Linked DNA regions of Arabidopsis thaliana. The protein of the gene in region 1 interacts with the protein of each later gene in a biochemical or structural test. Each region holds a gene or a part of one and is shown in the gene's direction. Other genes may lie near its edges.

Evidence for each region. Proteins that work in one complex are often made in the same cells at the same time.
Region 2: the proteins of MYC4 (region 1) and TIFY7 form a complex in vitro, tested with the Arabidopsis thaliana proteins (2 studies listed by BioGRID).
Region 3: the proteins of MYC4 (region 1) and JAZ1 form a complex in vitro, tested with the Arabidopsis thaliana proteins (2 studies listed by BioGRID).

What each region holds. Positions count from the first base shown.
Region 1 is NC_003075.7:9,932,563-9,937,953, reverse strand, and holds MYC4 (Basic helix-loop-helix (bHLH) DNA-binding family protein), read left to right. Parts: upstream 1-2,268; 5' UTR 2,269-2,482; coding exon 2,483-4,252; 3' UTR 4,253-4,628; downstream 4,629-5,391. Other genes in the region: AGD8 (ARF-GAP domain 8), read right to left, coding at 1-176, 500-618, 756-833. UniProt on the Arabidopsis thaliana protein: Transcription factor involved in jasmonic acid (JA) gene regulation. With MYC2 and MYC3, controls additively subsets of JA-dependent responses. Can form complexes with all known glucosinolate-related MYBs to regulate glucosinolate biosynthesis.
Region 2 is NC_003070.9:26,652,606-26,657,564, forward strand, and holds TIFY7 (TIFY domain/Divergent CCT motif family protein), read left to right. Parts: upstream 1-2,162; 5' UTR 2,163-2,345; coding exon 2,346-2,436; intron 2,437-2,644; coding exon 2,645-2,727; intron 2,728-3,221; coding exon 3,222-3,376; intron 3,377-3,464; coding exon 3,465-3,549; intron 3,550-3,632; coding exon 3,633-3,873; intron 3,874-3,968; coding exon 3,969-4,144; coding exon of another isoform or gene 4,145-4,199; 3' UTR 4,200-4,459; downstream 4,460-4,959. Other genes in the region: HWI1 (Receptor-like protein kinase-related family protein), read left to right, coding at 1-241, 541-672, 757-776. UniProt on the Arabidopsis thaliana protein: Repressor of jasmonate responses. Jasmonoyl-isoleucine (JA-Ile) specifically promotes COI1-TIFY7/JAZ9 interaction. Interacts with and suppresses RHD6 and RSL1 transcription factor activities to negatively regulate jasmonate-stimulated root hair development.
Region 3 is NC_003070.9:6,619,689-6,624,120, forward strand, and holds JAZ1 (jasmonate-zim-domain protein 1), read left to right. Parts: upstream 1-2,088; 5' UTR 2,089-2,143; intron 2,144-2,231; 5' UTR 2,232-2,623; coding exon 2,624-2,786; exon of another isoform or gene 2,787-2,984; coding exon 2,985-3,583; 3' UTR 3,584-3,932; downstream 3,933-4,432. Other genes in the region: AT1G19190 (alpha/beta-Hydrolases superfamily protein), read left to right, coding at 4,188-4,432.

The sequences.
Region 1 (5,391 bases):
CAACTTCTTTAGCAAGAATCTGCCGATACAAATCAGCAGCTCTTGAAGTATACTTAGCTTCAATTTTGCCACCATCAGTCCATCCATGTTGCTTGAAGAAAACCTGAGCACGGTTGTTACCACCAAACATCATTGTCCTGAGCTGCTCCGGGCTCCAAGAGTCTAAATTCGTTGATCTATACAAAAACGGAAAAGGTAGCATCTTGAGAACGTAATGTGGCATTATTCAATATTATCTAGTCAATGAATCGATAATTTGAATGAGTCTAATTTCAAGACACTGGTGAAATTTTGAAGTCAACAATTCTGAAACCTTAAAACATAATCTGATGATTCAACCACACTAAAGTCAACGTAATGCTACACATTAGCCAACAATTCTGAACACCTGAGCACGGTTTAAGCTAATTCCCTTATAAAGGCCTCAAAAGCTTAAACCTTAGCCAAAATCTGAGCTAGAGTAATGCCGAAGAATTGGATCAGATGATGAATTGTTTACCTGACGAAGCTGATATGAACACCAAGATTCCGGTGAGTAGCTGAACAATCGATGCAGAGGAAAATCCCATATGTAACCGATGCCCAAGTTGGATTCTTCGCACTACAATCGAAGCAGACCTAAATTGGCAAATCAAAACCAAAATTAGCATAAATGAATCAAAGATCTAGTCAAACAACTCTCAGATCTAAACATACACAATATCAAATTGACGATACTCAAAGAAAGAGAAGAATTCAGAAAAAAATTTGATTACCTTGTTCTCAGATTTTGATTTGAGTTTTCTGAAAACAATGTTTTTGTCGGTAAGATTGTCAGCAGAAGAAGAAGCCATTGTAGATCAAATTGTTCAATTTGATCACCTCCTTGAAGAAATTTGAAAGATTTTTTAATTTGAAATCTTTCTTCTTCAAAATCTGTAAATCTAAAGGAAACAGTACTAACGTTTGATGGAAACATTTGATCTGACTAGACTGACGAAAACACCCTGAATAAACTCTAGAAATTACGAAAATGGCATTACGTAGAAACGACACGTAGTGTGTAAATTCCGTTTCTGAAGCAACATGGATGATATAAAACGGACGAAAGCTTATCATTTTCACCTTTTCTTAAACCTCAATTCAAAGATTACTTCCTAATTTGTCTAATCGTGTGTTATACATTTTTCGTATTAATATTATGTTTATCATATGGTTTAATACGTACAGGATTTGTTTTTAATATCTGAAGTTAACATGTATTAGTAAATTAAAATACGACTTTTTATAACTCCAGGTTTTCAAACTAACTAACGGTTTTCATTTTTGCCTTCTTTCCATAATATGTCTCACACATATTATATGCTAAAAGTTTCGCTATACTTGTTGTTGACCATACACTAAAAAATGTCAAATGTGAAATATTTGCGGGCTAGTTTTATTAACTACCCAAAATGTGTGAGGCCCAATATAAAGTAAAGCCCAGCTTAATTTGTTTTGTTTGCTTTTATGCGATTCCGAAATGTCACTGTACAGTAGACACTATAGTTTCGTCGGATATGAACATAGAGAGACCAACATTTTTGGGCATTTGCTCTCACTGAAAAAGAAAGCATATTATGAAATCTGGCCACTAAAAACACGAGACCCACACGACATAATGTGATTATTTTTGTGTGGTCGTATAATTTTCGTAATTAAATCTAATTCTGTTTTAATACTATACCTTTTATTTTCCTTTATGCTCTTGCGTCTCTTTCACCTTTGATATCAAAATCACCCATGTCTTTTTTTTGTTCTTTATCATTGCAAAAAGTTGTGTCCAATAACGAAGCCAACAAAAATATGTTTATAAGAAAATGTTAAACTACAAGTCTACAATATTTGCTTTATAGGTTTTGTATATAAATGTTGTATCCAAATCTTTGGTGTTAACACTCCCTTAATCCCTTTAAATCATATTTTCCTGCCTCAAAGAACAACTGCAATTCTACAAACTCATTGTTTAAATTAATTGATGCTACTTGCTTACAAGAATTAAATGATGGGATTAATCACAAGAAAAGCAGATATTGACACCAATACCAAAAGTGAGGGAGACAAGATCATTATTGTAAGTGAAATATCATTTTCATTCTTTAATTGTTCTTAATTATCAACTTTGATGTAAAAGGCTCCTTGACAAATTTGATCCGATTCTCTTACATAGATTAGTAATTTTCTTGTAAAACAATTACTATTCAGAAAAAAATTGTTTTCAATCAAGTTATGTATATAACCCAACTTCAGAAATAACTCAATCAATAATTCATATTTGGTGAAAATAAAAGTACTATTTCTTTTTCTTTAGAGTTAAAAAAAAAAAATGAATATAAACAGATTCCTTTTCCCGAAACAATCAAACCAAACACAAATATTTTGCTTAAAGAACTTACTTCTCTCCTCTGTCTCTCACCGGAAAAACAAAAAGTCTTCTCTTTTATAACTACGTCAGAGAACTGTTATGTCTCCGACGAATGTTCAAGTAACCGATTACCATCTCAACCAATCAAAAACGGATACAACAAATCTCTGGTCAACCGACGACGATGCATCGGTAATGGAAGCTTTCATCGGCGGCGGCTCCGATCATTCTTCTCTTTTTCCTCCACTTCCTCCTCCTCCTCTTCCTCAAGTCAACGAAGATAATCTCCAGCAACGTCTCCAAGCTTTAATCGAAGGAGCAAACGAGAACTGGACTTACGCCGTGTTCTGGCAATCATCTCACGGTTTCGCCGGAGAAGACAACAACAACAACAACACAGTGTTGTTAGGTTGGGGAGATGGTTATTACAAAGGAGAAGAAGAGAAGTCTAGAAAGAAGAAATCAAATCCAGCTAGTGCAGCTGAACAAGAGCATCGTAAGAGAGTGATTAGAGAGCTCAACTCTTTAATCTCCGGTGGTGTAGGAGGAGGAGATGAAGCTGGAGATGAAGAAGTTACAGATACTGAATGGTTCTTCTTAGTTTCAATGACACAGAGCTTTGTCAAGGGTACTGGTTTACCTGGTCAAGCTTTCTCAAATTCAGACACGATTTGGTTATCTGGTTCTAATGCTTTAGCTGGATCAAGTTGTGAGAGAGCTCGTCAAGGTCAGATTTATGGGTTACAAACAATGGTGTGTGTAGCGACAGAGAATGGTGTCGTTGAGCTTGGTTCGTCGGAGATTATTCATCAAAGTTCAGATCTTGTTGATAAAGTTGACACCTTTTTCAATTTTAACAATGGTGGTGGTGAATTTGGTTCTTGGGCGTTTAATTTGAATCCAGATCAAGGAGAGAATGATCCAGGTTTGTGGATTAGTGAACCTAATGGTGTTGACTCTGGTCTTGTAGCTGCTCCGGTGATGAATAATGGTGGAAATGACTCAACTTCTAATTCTGATTCTCAACCAATTTCTAAGCTTTGTAATGGAAGCTCTGTTGAAAACCCTAACCCTAAAGTTCTGAAATCTTGTGAAATGGTGAATTTCAAGAATGGGATTGAGAATGGTCAAGAAGAAGATAGTAGTAATAAGAAGAGATCACCGGTTTCGAATAATGAAGAAGGGATGCTTTCTTTTACCTCTGTTCTTCCATGTGACTCGAATCACTCTGATCTTGAAGCTTCAGTGGCTAAAGAAGCTGAGAGTAACAGAGTTGTGGTTGAACCGGAGAAGAAACCGAGGAAACGAGGGAGAAAACCGGCGAATGGAAGAGAAGAGCCTTTGAATCATGTAGAGGCAGAGAGACAGAGAAGAGAGAAGTTGAATCAGAGATTCTATTCTTTAAGAGCTGTGGTTCCTAATGTGTCTAAGATGGATAAAGCTTCTCTATTAGGAGATGCTATTTCGTATATCAGTGAGCTTAAGTCTAAGTTGCAAAAGGCTGAATCTGATAAAGAAGAGTTGCAGAAGCAGATTGATGTGATGAATAAAGAAGCGGGAAATGCGAAAAGTTCGGTAAAAGATCGAAAATGTTTGAATCAAGAATCGAGTGTGTTGATAGAGATGGAGGTTGATGTGAAGATTATTGGTTGGGATGCAATGATAAGGATTCAATGTAGTAAGAGGAATCATCCTGGTGCTAAGTTCATGGAAGCACTTAAGGAGTTGGATTTGGAAGTGAATCATGCGAGTTTATCGGTAGTGAATGATCTTATGATCCAACAAGCGACTGTGAAAATGGGGAATCAGTTTTTCACGCAAGATCAACTCAAGGTTGCTCTAACGGAGAAAGTTGGAGAATGTCCATGAATTGAAGTCAGCATCTTTAGGGCTAATACACCGGAGAATACTGCGAAAAGTCGAAAACAACGATCATAGTATAAGCCGCGGTAAAAAGTGTTAAACCTTTCACACAAGTTTCTCTAGTGAATGTAGTTGTAAACTCTATTGTGTAAGGGTAATTTTGTAGTACCCACTTGTTGCTATTGAATGCTTGTTAGAGAGGATTCTTAGTGTAGTATATGATTAGGTTGGGGTTTGTTGTTTCATGAGATAAATAAATGTGTTTGATCAATGGTTAAGTCTTTGGTTTGTTGGTGTATGTATGTAAATAAGGCTTTTGTTAGAAATAAGACAAATGGGACTGAAGTTGGAGTTTTTTGTTGTCTTTTGAGTTAAAGTTTGAGTATTTCACTTTCAAGTGAGTTTTTTGTGTTCATCATTTGGGACTAGTCATTGGGAAGTTGGCATCAAAAGAGGCATCTAATTTGTTAGGAACGAATATACCTACTTTTTTTTGTTTTCAATAGGGATAATTTAAATCAATCACAGCTATTTAGAGATTCCAATGTAGGACCTCAAAATTTATGTGGATGTTACATGATCATTATCGTTCTAAATAGTATTTTGAACCATAGATTACTTCAGAGTAATTAAGTTTGTCGCATAAATCATGATGCACAACATGCAAATGCTAAATGGATTTCTTGATATTGACAGAAGAAGTGAAACCACTAGAATAATACCCTTTAAAAAAATAAAAAAAAATCAATATATGTCATAAAGGTCCAAAATGGTGAAATCAAAATGAAACATGGGGATATAAACATAAGATGTCTTAAAAGGGTTGTGGGGGAGGGAAAGCGAGGTTATGAATCTTTGAAGAAAAAGTTAAAATCATACAAAAAAATCGTGGAGACATGTGTGGTCGATTATTAAAGAGATTTTTCTGCAACATATATTATTGTGTTTGTTTCCAAACATTTTAGCAATAATCTCCTCGAAAATGTGAGTGACAGTGCGAAGAGAACGTGTGAGTGATAAGAAGAAAGCATGCGCTTTTAAAATTATAGGGCACATTATCGCCAAATAAAAACAAAGAACGAAAGGAGACATTTATCATCTGTACATGTAATATTAACTATACTTTGTTTGATGATCGTTTTCTC
Region 2 (4,959 bases), on another chromosome or scaffold:
TTAGGTACCGGAGATGGATCTTACAGGACAGGTGGCAACGGGAATGTTCAGGGTGTGGCTCAGTGCTCCGGTGATCTAAGTACATCACAGTGCCAAGATTGCTTGTCTGATGCAATCGGACGGCTCAAATCTGATTGTGGAATGGCTCAGGGAGGATATGTTTACTTGTCGAAATGTTACGCGCGTTTCAGTGTTGGTGGTAGTCACGCGCGTCAGACCCCAGGCCCAAACTTTGGTCATGGTCAGTCTTCCTCTAAACTTATTTTAACTAAACTAGATAAAAAAATAAAAAGTCGTAATCACTAAAAAAAAAACCTTTTTACGTAACCTCAGATGAAAATTTAAATATTAGACTGATCTTAACAATTAGTCTAATGGTTTATATATTTGTGTACGACGCTAAATTTTTAAACCCATAAAATTGATAGTGTTGACCATAAATAAAAATATGAACATTATACTTGATGGAGAAAACAAATTTATTAAAAACTTTAGAGGTGGATGGATAGTTTTAAAATTATATATATATATATTTGGCAGAAGGAGAGAAGGGCAATAAGGATGATAATGGAGTGGGAAAAACATTGGCGATAATAATAGGAATCGTCACCTTAATCATCTTGCTCGTTGTGTTTCTCGCTTTTGTTGGAAAGTGTTGTAGAAAATTACAAGGTATTTTTGATATTGATTTACGTTTTTTTTTCAGTTCTTTTATCGATCATAAAATCTAAATTACTATGTATATGCCTTTTGCAGATGAGAAATGGTGTAAATGAAAGGACAAAGTGGGAAAGATATCAATCAACAACTCGAGTCGAGCCACACTGTTAGTTGTATTTTTGTAATTTTTTTTGTTCTCCCTCATAAGATGTACGTAGTTATAGTATATTGATAATTTGATATAGTATTGATATGATTGTATCTCCGAATCGATTTTTGTATAATTGTCGGACTTATATAGGCCAAAGCGATATCTTCTTCTTTGATGTGAATGAAACCTTCGATTTCTTATCTTCTATAAATGCCATGTTTTTCGTCTATGCAAAAAATAACAGTAATTAAAAGGGTTTGAGCTTCTTTTATCAATACACAAACAAGTTAAAATAAATGAACGTGTCGAGAATAATGGAACATATTAAACCGTAAATCAGGATGGAGATCCAAAAAATGATAACTGTGTTCGTCCTATTGCGAATGTCTGAACGAATCTTTTCATCGTATTCATCATTATTTATTCTCATATTGTCTAAAGAACTCAATTGAAGACTTGGCCTAATGTCCTTTAATCATTAAAAATGATAATTTAAAATTGTAAGCTGACTACCAAATCGTTTTAGGACTTTGAAAGACCAACTAACGTCTAATTCTTTTCCATATTTTTTTTAATTTTCTGAAATTCTTAATGTACTACCGATGATTGCTTCATAACCAGGTTCTTCTTTTAATTTGTACATGAGTAACATGACTAATAAATGACTTGCGTCTGTTTGAAACATTATATGAATAAGAAAAATTGGTCTCAAATAACAACATGATGTATCAAAGATTCAAAAATTTCACGTGTTATGAAATGAGCTTAGCAAAAGTTCACTCAAGTTCTTGGAGGTCTAGTTTGGAATGCAATTTAGCCAAATCTGTACAGTTATACTGAACAGATTTAATGTAAGTCGGGCCGTAAACAAAATTATGGGCCTTAGATAAGCAAATCAAACTTCTTTCAGCCCATTGAGCATTCTCGTGATTTGGTTATTGTATATCCAATACGTGACATTACTTTTGCCTCAACGAAAGAGTCTTGGCTTATCATTTCATTTATTATTATAGTTGAAATAATTTTCAAAGAAAAGAAAAAAATATGTGATAAATACCAAACCGTTGCATAAGAAAAGCAACCACACATTTTACATGTGTGTGTGAGTTCACGAAGAAAATATCCAATAGCCAAACTAATTAATCCACCTTTGAAAAAAAACATGCACTATTATAAACTAGAGCCACCGACGGTCGACGGATGTCTAATTGTATATGGTCCTCAGAAATGAAAAAATCAAAAGAATAAACACGTGTGAATTAACCGGTTTAACCAGTAGCACCAACCGTTTGTACCGGTCAGAAAAAAGCCCCACATGCTTTAATCAAGCAAGCCTTTAAAAACAGGAAAGGCAAAGAGTTAAATAAGCCTCTCCAAAAGTGTGTCTGTAACATTACCAAAACGAAACCTTCCTTGTGGATTCCCACTTCTTTCTTCTGTTTTCTTCTTCCTCTTCTTTAAATTGGATGTTTTGGGCAAGAAACAGAGAGAAACACGTTAATTTGAGAGTTTGTCATTGAATATTTGGTTTGCAATGGAAAGAGATTTTCTGGGTTTGAGCGACAAGCAGTATCTAAGTAATAACGTTAAGCATGAGGTTAACGATGATGCTGTCGAAGAACGAGGTTTGTGTTCTTGTCTCGAGAATCTTTTATTTTAATGTTTCAAGAAGAGATCAGTTTTCACTTTTAACATAGCCGTATAAAGTTGTTTATTTAAATATAATTTTTCAGATTCCAAAACTTGAAAAAAAAAAGATTCCATTAAATCTTTTATAAAAATGAGATTGGATAGATTAGTCAAATTGACGACCATAAAAAATGATACTTATAGGGTTAAGTACGAAGGCAGCTAGAGAATGGGGGAAGTCAAAGGTTTTTGCTACTTCAAGTTTCATGCCTTCTTCAGATTTCCAGGTTGGTTCATCTTAAAATTTAACTTACTCTGTATCAGTTTCAGATGTTATGGCTAATCTAATGGTTCTATAAGCTACCGCATAATCATGGTCGTCTTTTAGCATGTGCAAGAGGAGTACTCAATTATGGTCTTGATTAAAAAGAAGAATTTACTTTCAAATTATGTTAAACACATCAATCACATATTTATGAGAAAAGTTGTTTTCGTAAGAGATAGCCACCGGAAAATGGTCGGATAAATGGCCGAACTTTATCATTTTTGTGTATGTGGCCAATCATTAACCAGGGAAAAAAAATTGTTGGATAAGTGCTAGTTAAGAGCTGGTAGGGTCGGTCGTCTGCCAGCCGCAAAGTTAGGGAAAAAATAATTTAATATTTTGTGGCGTTTGGTGTTTGGCGTTTGGATCACGTTTATTTCTTGGCATTTTTCTAAATTTAGAATGTACAAAAAATTTAAAGACGTTGACGATTAAAATTTGAATTTAACAAATTAGGAGGCTAAGGCGTTTCCGGGTGCATACCAGTGGGGATCAGTTTCTGCGGCCAATGTTTTCCGCAGATGCCAATTTGGTGGTGCGTTTCAAAACGCGACGCCGCTTTTACTAGGCGGTTCAGTTCCTTTACCAACTCATCCTTCTCTTGTTCCACGGTAATTTCCATATTATGATGCAAAAACATTCAACAATTTTTTTGCTCTTTTCATATTTTGATTTGGTTATGTGGGTTTGTGGAAACAGAGTGGCTTCCTCCGGATCATCTCCTCAGCTCACAATCTTTTATGGCGGAACTATAAGCGTCTTTAATGACATATCTCCCGATAAGGTATATATAATCAAGATTCATACAAATAACATTTACATAACATTTACATGTTCTAAAACGGACTATTCATGATATGTGAGTAGGCTCAAGCCATCATGTTATGCGCCGGGAACGGTTTGAAAGGTGAAACTGGAGATAGCAAACCGGTTCGAGAAGCTGAAAGAATGTATGGAAAACAAATCCATAACACTGCTGCTACCTCATCAAGCTCTGCCACTCACACTGATAATTTCTCAAGGTGTAGGGACACACCCGTTGCTGCGACTAATGCAATGAGCATGATCGAATCATTCAATGCAGCTCCTCGTAACATGATTCCTTCAGGTATGTGTGTCTAATATCAACATCAAAACAAAATATAATCAAGATTTTTGCTTCCTCAAATCATATGTCTAAACTCGAAAATTGCTTTTTTCCAGTCCCTCAAGCTCGGAAAGCATCCTTGGCTCGGTTCTTGGAGAAGCGCAAAGAGAGGTTTGATTTTGTATTTTTTTTCTTTATAGAAAATTTTGAGGTTTTTCAATTGAATCTAAAAGAATTGATGTTGTTGGTGCAGGCTTATGAGTGCAATGCCATACAAGAAGATGCTTCTTGATTTGTCGACCGGAGAATCCAGTGGAATGAATTACTCTTCTACTTCTCCTACATAAAACCTACACTTTTTTTTTTTTTTTTTACAATGGTAATTTGTAATTGTAATCATTAGATTATGATTATATAGTTACCATTTATATTCTTACGAGCAGGAGAAGACGTTAGGGCGTCTCTGTATTTGATCATTGTTTGTAATGCTTTGGTCTGTTTATTGTAGGATTACATTATAACTTTAAGAACTAACAGATATATGTTTGTCATGGACTCATGTCTGTCAAGAATTTAATATCAAATAAAATTCACTATAATTTTTTTTTTGCTAATTTCACAAACACACTTCATTAACTAATTATATGAACACTTAATTGATTTATACCAAAATCATATTGAATGCATCGCTAAAGAGAATAGTACTAGTTTTGTATCGCCAGCTTTCGTTGTTAACAAGTCCACTTTACTATTATTCTCTCGAGTTTTTTTTTGGTATCAATGTAAAGAAAATAAGAAGGTGAAAATTCTCTTGAGGTTGATGATTGTGTAAAATACCTAAGATGATATATTACAAAAAATGATATGTTTTCAAAGGAAAATATTCATGTTTTAAATAGCTTTTTATGAAAGTCACGAGTTCAAAATTTGATGTTAAGGAGAATAAATACTACTAGTTTATGTGCTACAGTAAACAAAAAAAAAATTGTGAACCAAAAGAGCTCACATGTTGATTACGAAAACAGAGAGATTCTCTTCACAAGCGGAAAGATCTTATAGATATTATTATTTAGAGGCAGATAAATAATTGTAGGAAAGTAATAATGG
Region 3 (4,432 bases), on another chromosome or scaffold:
TCTTTTTTAACATTTATAAATTTTAATATTTATTTTCGAAAGGCTAACAAACGCATGCGTACCTTTACATGAAACAAAAAGAAATTGTAGAATAATATTGTTTGAACATTTCTAGATATTCATGTGCATATTGTTCAAAACTTGTGTATGATTGTATCATTGATTGTTACATAAGTATTTGTTAAACAAATAAAAACTATACAACGTGGCTACGTATCAATCTATGCTTAGCAAAGTCAACCATGTAAATTTTGTAAGTATTACCTTACTCTAAGAAAATAAAACCCTAAACGAACAGATAGGCTTGCACCTGTATAATATATTAGACATTACAAGTCTCTACAATGTTGGTTTATCATTAACAAGGACTAAACAATATACTATAATCATACAATAAATTAAGAGTCGTAAATTAATGGTAAACTCAACTAATGCATGAATAGTTGTAAAAGTATATATATTTGGACACGTTACTCAACTTGCATCGCGGATCTGTATTCCTTCCCAACCACTACGTACACGCATTTCCCACGAGTTTGACGATCTTTCTCGTTTAATCTAATCATATCTACTTTTATAGGCTCCATAGCCCACATTTCATATCTTATAGTACGTTCCAACTTCTAACCAATAAACTCAAAACTAGTTGAGTTTTTTAATTAGTGAAATATATCTTGAATTTTATATATCTAATCTTGCACCAATAAAGTTTCTGTCAATTATGTAAAAGAAAGACTCGTTGTATCAGTATGGGACGACTTTTTCTTCTGAATTGTGTCGATCGAGTCCATATTATAATACTTTGTCACGTACTTTGTTTACTGATTAATTTAATATAATTGTGTCGCATTATCCAAGTCTAATTAAACATTAATGTGTATATTATACACCAAGTTACAATTACAGATCTATCTCTTAGTCGTTTTATTATGTATAGCCTACAATGAAACATGACATCAACGTATAGGTGAAGCTGAAGCCTATACATAAAAGTAAGGTTTTGGAGTTTGTTTCATGTTTTAAGGTTTTAGATATTTTGTGATCGATTTGCATGTATAGGGTTCCAAATATCTGAGCTTTGGCTTGGTCTACTTTGAGAAAGCAGCTGTAGAGATCAACTTTAGCCGTTTAGGTGATAAAATCACATTAGAACTCTATAGGTCGCGTAGCAGCGTATAAGAGCCCTGGATACTGAAATACAAGAATCTCTCCACGCGTAGAAAAACGAACCAACCATGATAAAACACGTGTCATATCGAATAGGTACAGACAACGTGCACTTGCCAACCTTCTTTCCTTGTAGTTTCCTTCTTCTTTGCTTCTTTTTTTCGTTAAATATTGATATTGTTCAAAAAACGCATAACAACAAAAACGTGGTCGACGGAACATGTGGGTGGTGGAGTTGTCTTCTTTAGGGGACCACTCACTAACGCCGTTTACTTTCCCGCTTGGACGATAACACCCTTGATATATGGATTAGTCTCTCTTTTGCTTTTGGATATCTTAATATATTTTAATATGTCCATTTTTATATTGACGACCATTTAATTAGGTCTCAGTTTGTATTATTGATTTTTAGGTGCCAAGCATTACTTTCGTTACGTGTAATCTTTTGATTATTCAATCAAATTATCATATGGTTCATGGCATTTTATCAATTGTGACGGTCGACATGTGGGTTGACTTTGATGTATGACTTTTAGCTTGTGCCTCATTTTTATTCCAACTCGACAACTAGCAGACTTTATATTTTAATTTATTTCTTTCTAGATATTAGACAATTCTTAGCTTGTCTCTCTGCATGAATCACGCGTTAATATACTTATAATAGTAAGTTTTAAAATGTTTCGAGTATAATATCATATTAGATTTCAATTATAATTGTAAGATTATTTAGTCTCAATGAAGAGCATTTAAAAATGTGAAAGAGTTTAGGCTTTGACTGTTGACTGGTTCTAACGCGTTTTGCTTCTTATTTATACAAAAAGATTTTATTTTATTTTAATTAGAAATATTAAGTACTTTTTAGACGTGTTTAGGTTGATTAATTTCTTGTTAACATATCCGATAAAAAAAAACAGCACCAAAATCACGACGAGAATTATGCCTACGTTACGTTGATAATAAAGATTAGAGATAAAATGTAACCTCTCTTCTCTTTACATCATTACATGCATCTTGTGTTTTATTTGACTTTATTCTTACCAACAAACAACCAATGGATAAATTAGGCTCGTGAAGGAGGGCAAACTCGTAATTTCAAAGAAACGGAAAGCGTCAGAACGTGGAGAACAGTGAACCGAGACACATTCCCGATTTTTCTAAAGAAACAAAATAAAACACGTGTTTTTTATACCATAAGTAAAGTAGTAGTATTTATTAAACTATTAATATATAGCTTTGTTATATTGGAGGTAGGAAGAAGAACTCTGCAACCAAACCAACCAACCCCAAAGCCAAACAAAGTTTTATAGAGACCTTCCATTTCTCCCTCTCGTGACAAACGCAATTTGCAGAGAAGCAACAGCAACAACAAGAAGAAGAAGAAAAAGATTTGAGATTACTTTGTATCGATTTAGCTATTCGAGAAACTCTTGCCGTTTGAAAGTTTTAATTGTTAAAGATGTCGAGTTCTATGGAATGTTCTGAGTTCGTCGGTAGCCGGAGATTTACTGGGAAGAAGCCTAGCTTCTCACAGACGTGTAGTCGATTGAGTCAGTATCTAAAAGAGAACGGTAGCTTTGGAGATCTGAGCTTAGGAATGGCATGCAAGCCTGATGTCAATGGTAAGAAACCTTCTCTTTCTCCTAGATCCACTTCTTTTTTCGTTTTCTCTGTTTTTTATTTCTTGAATCTTGATCTTGAAAACTTTTCAAGAAAATTTTGAATCGATTTCAAAGAAATTAGGGAGAGTTAGTTTGCTAAATTTTGACATAGAAAATGATTGGAGAGAGTTCTAACTTTTGGATCATATATATTTGCAGGAACTTTAGGCAACTCACGTCAGCCGACAACAACCATGAGTTTATTCCCTTGTGAAGCTTCTAACATGGATTCCATGGTTCAAGATGTTAAACCGACGAATCTGTTTCCTAGGCAACCAAGCTTTTCTTCCTCATCTTCCTCTCTTCCAAAGGAAGATGTTTTGAAAATGACACAGACTACCAGATCTGTGAAACCAGAGTCTCAAACTGCACCATTGACTATATTCTACGCCGGGCAAGTGATTGTATTCAATGACTTTTCTGCTGAGAAAGCCAAAGAAGTGATCAACTTGGCGAGCAAAGGCACCGCTAATAGCTTAGCCAAGAATCAAACCGATATCAGAAGCAACATCGCTACTATCGCAAACCAAGTTCCTCATCCAAGAAAAACCACAACACAAGAGCCAATCCAATCCTCCCCAACACCATTGACAGAACTTCCTATTGCTAGAAGAGCTTCACTTCACCGGTTCTTGGAGAAGAGAAAGGACAGAGTTACGTCAAAGGCACCATACCAATTATGCGATCCAGCCAAAGCGTCTTCAAACCCTCAAACCACAGGCAACATGTCGTGGCTCGGTTTAGCAGCTGAAATATGAATGCTAACCACCCTCAAGCCGTACCAAGAAATTCTTTTGACGACGTTGCTTCAAGACAAGATATAAAAGCTCCTATCTTCATGCTTTTTGATTTAAGATACAAACTACTCAATGATTAGGAAACTTCATATATTTGTATGTATTGATTAGTGATCAATTATTGTTAGTATTCGTTATAGTCTGTTTTTCTACTAGTTATTGTCGCCTGTCTAAATCCCCTTGCTATGGGTTATCTCAAAATTAGTTTCGTATGTAACTAATTTTGTAAGAACAATAATTTTTGTTGACGAACCATACTATCAAATACTCTAAATTATATCTTGATAAATCTACCTATCAGGTAAGTAGGTGTGTTTTGTTTTCATTTGTTTACTTGTTACCTACTAATCTCATATTTTATGATTCAAATTCAAACCCGTGAATTATGAGTTAGTAGGTAGGTTTAACAACATGTCAACAACTAAAGAACAACGTGACATCTAAACCAAACCAAAACTATAGAGAGTTCAGAGTAGTCGTAGTCTCGTAGAGATCATTCATATAAATAAATCGCATAAACACCAAAATCAACTCTTAATTCTTTCCTAATCATCATTAATCTCTAATGGATTCCGAAATCGCATTCGACTATTCTCCGAGGTTTCGTATATTCAAGAACGGTGGCATCGAACGCCTCGTACCCGAAACATTCGTCCCACCGTCACTAAATCCCGAAAACGGCGTCGTATCTAAAGATGCCGTCTATTCACCGGAGAAAAACCTCTCTCTCCGCATTTACCTCCCTCAAAATTCCGTCTATGAAACCGGCGAGAAGAAAATCCCACTACTCGTCTACTTTCATGGCGGAGG